Linked DNA regions of Arabidopsis thaliana. The protein of the gene in region 1 binds, or shares a complex with, the protein of each later gene. Each region holds a gene or a part of one and is shown in the gene's direction. Other genes may lie near its edges.

What was found. Proteins that work in one complex are often made in the same cells at the same time.
Region 2: the proteins of RAC2 (region 1) and ROPGEF8 are in contact, whole or in part, in a crystal structure (PDB 2WBL), measured with the Arabidopsis thaliana proteins. Residues at the interface, in NP_199409.1 of Arabidopsis thaliana: Phe6 (codon at 2,021), Asp14 (codon at 2,045), Gly15 (codon at 2,048), Ala16 (codon at 2,051), Val17 (codon at 2,054), Pro37 (codon at 2,435), Thr38 (codon at 2,438), Val39 (codon at 2,441), Phe40 (codon at 2,444), Asp41 (codon at 2,447), Asn42 (codon at 2,450), Phe43 (codon at 2,453), Ser44 (codon at 2,456), Ala45 (codon at 2,459), Asn46 (codon at 2,462), Asn55 (codon at 2,489), Trp59 (codon at 2,501), Asp60 (codon at 2,504), Ala62 (codon at 2,510), Gly63 (codon at 2,513), Glu65 (codon at 2,604), Asp66 (codon at 2,607), Tyr67 (codon at 2,610), Asn68 (codon at 2,613), Arg69 (codon at 2,616), Leu70 (codon at 2,619), Arg71 (codon at 2,622), Pro72 (codon at 2,625), Leu73 (codon at 2,628), Arg76 (codon at 2,637); in NP_189105.1 of Arabidopsis thaliana: Lys95 (codon at 2,145), Glu100 (codon at 2,160), Asp101 (codon at 2,163), Met102 (codon at 2,166), Ser103 (codon at 2,169), Lys107 (codon at 2,181), Leu113 (codon at 2,199), Asn117 (codon at 2,211), Ala118 (codon at 2,214), Thr120 (codon at 2,220), Asn121 (codon at 2,223), Leu122 (codon at 2,226), Ala124 (codon at 2,232), Ser125 (codon at 2,332), Glu129 (codon at 2,344), Arg143 (codon at 2,386), Arg217 (codon at 2,770), Asp218 (codon at 2,773), Ser219 (codon at 2,776), Glu220 (codon at 2,779), Lys233 (codon at 2,818), Trp234 (codon at 2,821), Trp235 (codon at 2,824), Gln265 (codon at 2,914), Met269 (codon at 2,926), His325 (codon at 3,176), Leu328 (codon at 3,185), Asp329 (codon at 3,188), Gly383 (codon at 3,350), Leu384 (codon at 3,353).

What each region holds. Positions count from the first base shown.
Region 1 is NC_003076.8:18,641,756-18,646,480, forward strand, and holds RAC2 (RAC-like 2), read left to right. Parts: upstream 1-1,784; 5' UTR 1,785-2,005; coding exon 2,006-2,104; intron 2,105-2,425; coding exon 2,426-2,513; intron 2,514-2,598; coding exon 2,599-2,708; intron 2,709-2,828; coding exon 2,829-2,892; intron 2,893-3,480; coding exon 3,481-3,545; intron 3,546-3,623; coding exon 3,624-3,689; intron 3,690-3,889; coding exon 3,890-4,003; 3' UTR 4,004-4,221; downstream 4,222-4,725. UniProt on the Arabidopsis thaliana protein: Inactive GDP-bound Rho GTPases reside in the cytosol, are found in a complex with Rho GDP-dissociation inhibitors (Rho GDIs), and are released from the GDI protein in order to translocate to membranes upon activation.
Region 2 is NC_003074.8:8,979,845-8,984,581, reverse strand, and holds ROPGEF8 (RHO guanyl-nucleotide exchange factor 8), read left to right. Parts: upstream 1-1,678; 5' UTR 1,679-1,788; coding exon 1,789-2,041; intron 2,042-2,115; coding exon 2,116-2,232; intron 2,233-2,329; coding exon 2,330-2,484; intron 2,485-2,565; coding exon 2,566-2,640; intron 2,641-2,721; coding exon 2,722-2,994; intron 2,995-3,076; coding exon 3,077-3,397; intron 3,398-3,509; coding exon 3,510-3,887; 3' UTR 3,888-4,182; downstream 4,183-4,737. UniProt on the Arabidopsis thaliana protein: Guanine-nucleotide exchange factor (GEF) that acts as an activator of Rop (Rho of plants) GTPases by promoting the exchange of GDP for GTP. Active as homodimer.

The sequences.
Region 1 (4,725 bases):
GCTAGAGTCTCGTCACTCTGATCTTATAATCAGCTAGCTCAGTGAATGGTTCAACTCTAATTTTCCTTTTGTTAATCTGATCTATCAAGGAGAAGTCGATGATTGCTCTTACAAGTTACATCTCAAGATGAGATACTTGAGGCTTATTGGGCTCTTCTTCTTTGGATACTTCTAGGTTCAAGTTGAGGCTTTTAGTGGGCTTATTTTGATAAGTTTTTATCTATTATCGACCTGAATTAGCAAACTAGTCAGTTTTCAGAACATATTTAGAAAATTAGTCATTTTACTAGTCACAATTTATAAAAAAGTCACTTTTCACTGTTTGATTTGTACATTTAGATTTGTACAATACTTTTAGTATACATATGTATATAGATATACACAGCGTACACTTACATCTGTATACTAAAAGTGTTGTACAAATTTAAATGTACAAATCAAACAGTGAAAAGTGACTACTTTGCAAATTGTGAATAGTAAAATAACTAGTTTTCTAAATATGTTTGAAAAATTGACTATTTTTTCATTTATCCCATTTTAAAATGTATGAACAGTACAATATTATTAATATTATGCTCTATTTTAAATCAATGGAAAATTTTATATAAAAAATGCATAATGAGGAAGAGACACACAAATTCAATTGTTAGGAAAGAAAGACTTTCACTACATTAGTGCTCCTAAACTTTTGCTCTACGCAGTATAACCTCTAATTTACTGGTAACTTATATTTGAAGTGATTTACGTATGATACTACTTGAAGCACCAAACTGTACTTCTATAAACTCAGGTAACAGTAGCTACGTTATTATAATAATAATAAAAAATGTTATAATAAGGTTTTAAAGAAAGTAAATATCAACATTATATATGGGGACATACATTGATTCAGTTTTTGATAAATAGTGTAATTTGTATTTGAGTTAAAAAATTTGCCTTTATTTATATATTCCCCTCGAAGAAAAACTTTATTTACGTCCCAAAAAAGTATTTTTGGATTCGCCATGAATGTTTGATCATTCATATTTCAGAAAGTATTATAAATCATCGTATATCTGCATGAGAGTTTCATGCATAATACTCTTTAAAAGAAAATTGTTGGATAACGTAAAACAAAAGTGTTGGATGACGTCAAAAAAACTGTGAGGTGACGAAGAAGACAGATGGAAATTGTATTTTTGAACACACTAAAAAAATCGTAATATGTAAGCCAATTCATGTCATTATTGAATGTTGTTAAAATGAATCAAATAAGGCAAAACATAAAATATTGAAGAAAAAGATTTTATAAGAAAATGTAAAAACACTAGAGAAAGTAAGATGAGAGTTCCTTCTCCAACACTTAAAAACCCACTCACAACCAACACCAAACGGCTACATCACTTTCGGTGACCGCATGATCTTGCACTTGAAGTTAAAGAAATACTCAATTCCTAATCATTTTAACTCATTAATTTAATTAAACTAAAAATATCAAACCAATATATGAAAGGCAAAAGGTGAACAATATTTCAGCTTTTTGGTAAAATTTGTTTCGATTCTGCTAAATATCATTTTGCTTTGGACCTGGTTAGAAAAGTCAGATCAAATTTGGAAAGAAATACAAATTAGTGAGTACATGTAATAATAAAATTTAACTATTTTCAATACATGATTTTAATATTTGTATTTATTTAAGAAGATTATAATTCAATTGTTTCAGTGAGGAGTTGTTTGGTTTACTCGGTTTATTATATATGATGATATACAAAACCAGTTCTTTAATTTGGTATTTGTTTCAGTATGTTTGCTTCAAATTTCCTTCCCTTACGAATAAGCAACTAATAATGATCAATGAAAGTTGTAACAGAGACATCCTCCTTACCAATAAACAACTATAATCATCACAAAAGCTTCTTAAGAACCTTCCACCACTTCTCTTCTCTTCTGAACATAAAACCCAAACACATTCACAAAATTCATAAACATAAAAAAATAAAAGAAATTGAAGACAAAAGCAAAGAAAATGAGCACAGCAAGATTCATTAAGTGTGTGACTGTCGGAGATGGAGCAGTGGGAAAGACTTGTATGCTCATTTCATATACCAGCAATACGTTTCCTACGGTAACTTTTAATTTCTTAGCAAACTTGATATATATCCAGATATATTTTCAAATTGATGTTTTAAGATATTTATGTTAGGCTCCTGAGATCTTTGCTCATTTTAAACGTTGTTCATGGCAAATTAATAAGAGCCTAGTTTCATCTTTTGCGTTTATATTTCCATATCCGTTTAAGCATATTTTTCCTAGAATCATTAACGTGAAATATATCTAAAGCTGAATTCAAACCCATGCTTCTGGATTTTTGCTATCTGTTTACTTAAGAAACATGGTTTAATGTATGTTTTTTGATATATAAATGATTTAACTATCTAATTTACAGGATTATGTTCCAACAGTTTTCGACAACTTCAGCGCAAATGTGGTGGTCGACGGGAGTACCGTGAACCTTGGCCTGTGGGATACTGCCGGTACGCCGTATGATTACTTGATTATACTAAAACTGATTATTAATGAATGCTAGTTACGATAAAAGTTATTATTGTGGAATTACAGGTCAGGAAGATTATAATAGGCTTAGGCCTTTGAGTTACAGAGGAGCAGATGTCTTCTTATTAGCATTTTCCCTTATAAGCAAGGCCAGTTACGAGAATATTCACAAAAAGGTAACTTTAAAAGTTTTTCCATCCGTTTTTTTTTATAGATAAGAAACTATGATTATATGATAAAGTATTTCTAGAAAAATTTGTTGACACTGACTGATTAATTAATCTGGTGATTAATAGTGGCTTCCGGAGCTGAAACATTATGCTCCTGGCATCCCCATTGTGCTCGTCGGAACAAAATTAGGTAACGAAAACTTTCCCCTTATGAGTTCATAAAGAAACTTAATTTATCAACATTTGTGTCAAATTAGATATGGTCTTGAGTAATAATCCGCAGATCATACGTTTTTCATTTGCAAAAGAAAGAAAAAAATTCTACAAGAAGCTACTTTTTCGTCAAATAGTAATACACTCTCTTTCACTCTGAATAATATTGAGATATCACTAAATAATATGTTATTTAGAAAATAACACCTATAGTAAATGTATTTTGAAAAATTACCTAATTAATTCAGGCCAGTAAATTATATTATTTGTTCTGTTATGCTACAGTTTTAATGAAAAACATGTGAAAAAAGAATAACATTTTCAAATTCGATAGTTGTATAAAAACAGTTAGATTTTCATCTAATAGCAGAAAAATGTTCAAATGTAGGAAGATATAGCCACTTGGATCGTTAATGGCATCATGAATAGTGGCCCAATTTAACATTTATTCAACAACTTATATTGAAAAAGCTAATACATTTCTCCATTTGATTTATGGTATCTCTTGTGTTATTGATAATATCTTTTTATTCAAAACAATAATGTTACACAAAAATGAATATAGATTTGAGGGATGACAAGCAGTTCTTGAAGGATCATCCAGGAGCAGCTTCTATAACAACTGCTCAGGTACCATACACAAATCTTTAAAAAATAATCTATACAAAAATAAATTCATAAACAATTATGAATGGATTTGAGTAACAGGGAGAAGAATTAAGGAAAATGATTGGAGCTGTTAGGTACTTAGAGTGCAGCTCCAAAACCCAACAGGTACTTAGAGTAAATTCAACATGTATTTAGGTACTTAGAGTGCAGCTCCAAATGTTTTTTTGCCAAAATTTTCATACTAATAATTTGAATCCACAAATATATATATATATATATATATATATATATATAGTAAATTGAAATACTTAATGAAGTTAAATTAAATAAACTGAAAAAGTTTTTTGTTTGTGAATGTTTAATAGAATGTGAAGGCAGTGTTTGATACAGCGATAAGGGTAGCTTTGAGGCCACCAAAGGCAAAGAAAAAGATAAAACCATTGAAGACTAAGAGATCAAGAATATGCTTTTTCCTATAATATCTGAACAGATTTCAATAAATAACAAACATTTATATATACTTGTATTTTGATATTTTTTTGAATATTTTCTACTTGAAATAGTGGACTTTGCTTCATCACGTTATTGGCGAGAGTATTGTCGAATCATGTTACCATTATTCGGGAGAAATTTGTAAAATAGTAGTAATTTGGCAAGAAAATTGAGGATTGATATTTTTTCCCCATAAATTGTGGAATCACGCTTTTTGGTGACAATTTGCGAATTCTAGTTTTTAGCAAAAAAAATTAAAGAGTAATGTTTTTTGATGAAAAAATTATGGATACAAGTTTGAATCAATAATATGAGATTTTCGTCTTTGAAAAATAAAATTTCAAGTTTAAAATTTTGGCTAAAAAAATGTGGATTCAATTTATTGATAAGAAAATTGTATTAATCCTCACTTGAAACTCCTTACACTCTTTCTACATGAGTAAGACATAAACAAATGTGACGTTCATGCTCCAGTTCTTATATATGTCCAATGTATAACCTGAGCAAAATATACTTATGCACTTATAATACCTTAATTACCCGTCTTACTTTGAGGCTGGATCTTGTCCTTTAAGTAATCTATCTTCTGGGAAAAATAGAACTCAAGGGCTCTTACGTTCAATGTTAAAAAATGGTACCATTTCCTTGCAAAAACTCAGCTGTTTCAGAAAAGATTTCAAAAGCTAGCATACCTATACCATAACACACA
Region 2 (4,737 bases), on another chromosome or scaffold:
TCTGGAAGAGCTATTGGATGCGCTTGCAAACGATGTAACACACTATTTAAAGATGAGAGCTTTACAAAGAAGCATTGTGGTAAATCTACCAAGGAGTTTCTGGTAACCATGACTTGTGAATATTCTTTTTTGACTGATATTTCACAAACTAGATTCAGTCTCCATAGCATCAAAGACTTTTCATCTATAAAGGAGATAGGTGAAATGGTCTGTCGAGTTCAAATATCTAAGCTAGTCTATCATTGTCACGGCTTATTGTTATTAGTCACCAAGGATTCCTCGAGGCTGGTGGTATGGAACCCATATGTTGGTAAGCTAGTGCAAACCAGATGGATCAAACCCAAAAATAATTATCATGAATCAGATTGGTATGCTATAGGATACGACAACAAGAACAACCACAAAATATAAGGCATGAAATCTATGATTTTAAGTCTAATTCTTCAAGTCTAGTTCGTGGAGGGTTCTTGACATTACTTATAATTCTTATATAACGTTTAAAAAGAGGCGTTTCTTTGAAGAGAAATACTTACTTTGTTGATCGTAAAGGCGACGATTTTTTTTATTTTTTTTATTTTACAACATAGAGATTTGGATCACGTCTGCATCTGCCGTTTGATTCCAATAGTTATGTGATTTCATATTGTGTTAGAGAAGAGTAGCTTGAGGTGTTTTTGGGCAGGTGTTTGGATAGATGTGTGATGGAGACATGGATTACAACTAAGATTGAGCCAAATGCAGTGTCGTGGAGCAAATTCTTTAAAGTTGAAATTCCACTTGTGTTTGGTTGTTACGTACTTTCTATCTGTGTTTGAAGTTTGCAGTTTCTTCATTGATAAAGAGAAAAAGCAGCATTTGTTGTGGTACATATGGTGTCAATCATCTCTTCGAGATATCTTTCGTGGTAAGAGAGAATATGTTCTTCAAAGTAACGGATTTCGGAGAAATGTTCTCTTATGTTCCAAGTTCGGTGCAGATCCAATACTTAAGGTCTAGTACATGCAGGAATCCTACAGCAGGAGGCAAAAGAAAAGGAGGAGATTACTAGTAATTTCTTACATTGCCTTGTTTGTTTATTATTCATGTTATATTGTTTTGAACAAGCCTGGTCAATGGCTTCTTTATTACTTGACAAGATCAAAAACATATTTTGGTGATTTGAAAACTAAACTTGTCATATAAACTTTGATATCTGACAAGTTTTATGTCTTTCTCTGGTGAATTATGTAGCTCTAGTGGTGAAGAAGACATTCCATAGTACATAAACATGGAAATGTAACCAATGAATCAATTGCACAGTGGTTGATTTCAAAGCCAAATAAACCAAAACTTAAGTAAATTCTAAACACTCAAAAGCAGAACAAGAAAAATGCAAGACATAAGGATAGCTAAATACTCTATTTGATGAATGGTAGATCTCCCATAAGAAAGTTGAATCAGTTTGGAGTTTTATTGTCTTTTCCGTACTTCGTGGAACGTCACTTTTATCACAAACCATCAATTTATTTCTAACACAAAAGAGAAGATAACCAATCATGGAAATAGCTAACTTCCTAAATTTTGATTTACTATTTTTATATTTGAAATGCATTTAGTCCTTAAAATCGAAAACAAACGTTTGTTCTTAAGAATTTTGTTTCATTTTCCAAATAAAAGAGGTTTTTTTTTTGTTCTTTTTATGCTTTTAACAAAAATCTTAGAGTTGTATCATCTTTAGATCAACTGGATTTTAAAGGAATAAAGGGCTTTAACTTGCGGGGCAAGAAAACAAGCGAACGTTGTCGTACCATGGTTGCAGCGTTGGAACGAGGACTAAGCGCTTCCAAATCATTCAACTTTAAAAGAATGTTTGATTCATCTTCGACGAAACAACAACAATCTCAAACTATTGTCGTGGAGAACGGAGATTCTCATATTGTCGAATCCAACACGCCTGAAAGCCAAAACTCCGACAGCTTCGTAGAAAGCCCCGTAGAGAGCAGCCTTCCAATGATTTCCCCTCTTACTCGGCCAGGAAAAAGATCTGAGAGACAACAAGCAGGTGTGTATCTTCTTTCCTTTTCCAATAACTTATATCCTTCAAAAAAAACCTAATAATCACATAAAGTATTGCAGATATGGAGATGATGAAAGACAGGTTCGCTAAATTGCTTCTTGGAGAAGATATGTCCGGTGGTGGGAAAGGCGTATCTTCTGCTCTGGCTCTTTCCAATGCCATCACAAATCTTGCTGGTAATCTTCTTTTTATACTTTTTAAGTTTCTTCTTTCGCAAGTAAGTATGAGGGTTTTGGTTTCTAAATCTTGTGTTGGTGGTATGATGATTTGCAGCGTCTATATTCGGAGAACAAACAAAGCTACAACCGATGCCGCAAGATAGACAAGCGAGATGGAAGAAAGAGATTGATTGGTTATTATCCGTGACCGATCACATTGTCGAGTTTGTTCCTTCTCAACAAACAAGCAAAGATGGAGTTTGCACTGAGGTTTGAGTTTCCCAAAGAAAAGAAAATATCATTTTTGCGACCTCTTTAGAATAAGTTACAATGTTAACCATTTTTTTGTAGATTATGGTGACAAGACAAAGAGGTGATCTTCTTATGAACATTCCAGCTCTTCGAAAACTTGACGCCATGCTCATCGTAAGTCTCTCCATTCAATCTGTATTGAATCCGGCTTATATCTAGCGTTTGGTGGATTAATGGTAATGATAACATGTTCAGGATACATTGGACAATTTCAGAGGACACAACGAGTTTTGGTATGTCTCAAGAGATTCAGAAGAAGGGCAGCAAGCAAGGAATGATCGGACAAACGACAAGTGGTGGCTACCACCGGTTAAAGTTCCTCCTGGAGGTTTATCAGAACCATCTCGGAGAATGCTTTACTTCCAAAAAGATTCAGTCACACAAGTTCAAAAAGCTGCAATGGCCATCAATGCTCAAGTCCTCTCAGAAATGGAAATACCTGAGAGCTACATCGACTCTCTCCCAAAGGTAAATCAATGTCACGTTTTTATTCAATTTCTATCTTTTGTTATTCTATGTTTGGCTCTTAAGATTTGATTTTTATTGACAGAACGGAAGAGCCAGCCTCGGGGATTCGATATACAAGAGCATAACAGAGGAATGGTTTGATCCTGAGCAGTTCTTAGCGATGTTGGACATGTCGACAGAGCACAAAGTGTTGGATTTGAAGAACAGAATTGAGGCATCTGTTGTGATTTGGAAGAGGAAGCTTCACACAAAGGACACCAAATCTTCGTGGGGCTCAGCAGTTAGCTTGGAGAAGAGAGAATTGTTCGAAGAGAGAGCAGAAACAATCTTGGTCTTGCTCAAACAAAAATTTCCCGGTCTTCCTCAATCTTCCCTTGACATCTCCAAGATTCAGTTTAACAAGGTAAATCAATCATAATGATAAGCTCTCATATATTGTAGATGCCTTGAATGGCAAGAAACAACTCATTTTTGTTTTGGTTATAAGAAAACTGATCTTTTATCAATGGATACAGGACGTTGGGCAAGCGGTGTTGGAAAGTTACTCTAGGATACTTGAGAGCTTGGCTTACACAGTGATGTCAAGGATAGAAGATGTTCTTTACACAGATACATTGGCACTAAAGCAAACTTTATTGGCTGAAGAAACATCAGATGGTGGGAGAACAACAGAGACGGATTCCGAGTCAGCGGGATCTTCTAACTCGGGAGAAGAAGCCGAGAAGCATGACCCACACTCCAAGACCTTGTTGGATTTTATGGGTTGGAATGATAATAGTTCCAAAGGAGGCGATAAACCTACTAAATCTCCAAACCTTACGCCGAAAAAGCTCTCATACTTGGAGAAGTTAGAGAATTTAAACGGTTTTAGAAGTCCCAAAGATAGGCATTAATCATGAAAATCCTTGTGAGATACTTTTATAGAGAACATAAAAGTGTAGATAGGGAAAAAGGAATGAAAGCAAAGTAGTAAATGAAGTAATCACACCCTCTTCCTTCCTCGGATAGAGAAGTCTTTAGCTTAAGGAGTTTTTAACTCTTAACAAGAAGATAACTATCTCAAATGTACATGTTATAATCTTTAAATGTTCTCTTTGTTTTTCTTGACTTTCAAAAATAGAGGATATTTAATACGTTTAACTATGTGTATCAAATTATCAAACAATATGCGTATGGTCCAAACTCCAAAGGTGCATTTGAAATATATCAAACATATCTAAAAACGTAAAACAAATTGACCACTTAATCTTGGATATAAAGTTAATCGTACGTTTTACAATCTTCAATATTTCAAATCTGATATTACTTTTAAAAATTCATGTGTGTGGAGTATATTTGCAGTATACTTTAAACTTTGTTTCTAATAATTTGTTCATGAAATTCTTTTGAAATTTATTTAAAAAGACTTAGTATACAAATATTTCTAAGATATGTAATTTTGAGTAACCTTTGTTTTTTTTAAGAAATTAATCTTAATTTAATAATACCAAATTGTAAAATCTCCTTTAATCATGATTTACAAAAAGATCAAATAACACAAGATTTTAAGACATAATTTAATTCGAAAAAGGCCACGTAGGCTAGTGAATAGTTATGATCCACATTGCGTGTTAGTTCAATGGACCCATGACAGGCCTTTGGGCCAGGGAAATAAAAGTCGGTTTTCTACAAGAAACAGTATGTAGTTTAAAAGTATCTATATGAAACTGCACGTCGTTTTTCACAGGAAAAAACGGAAGATTT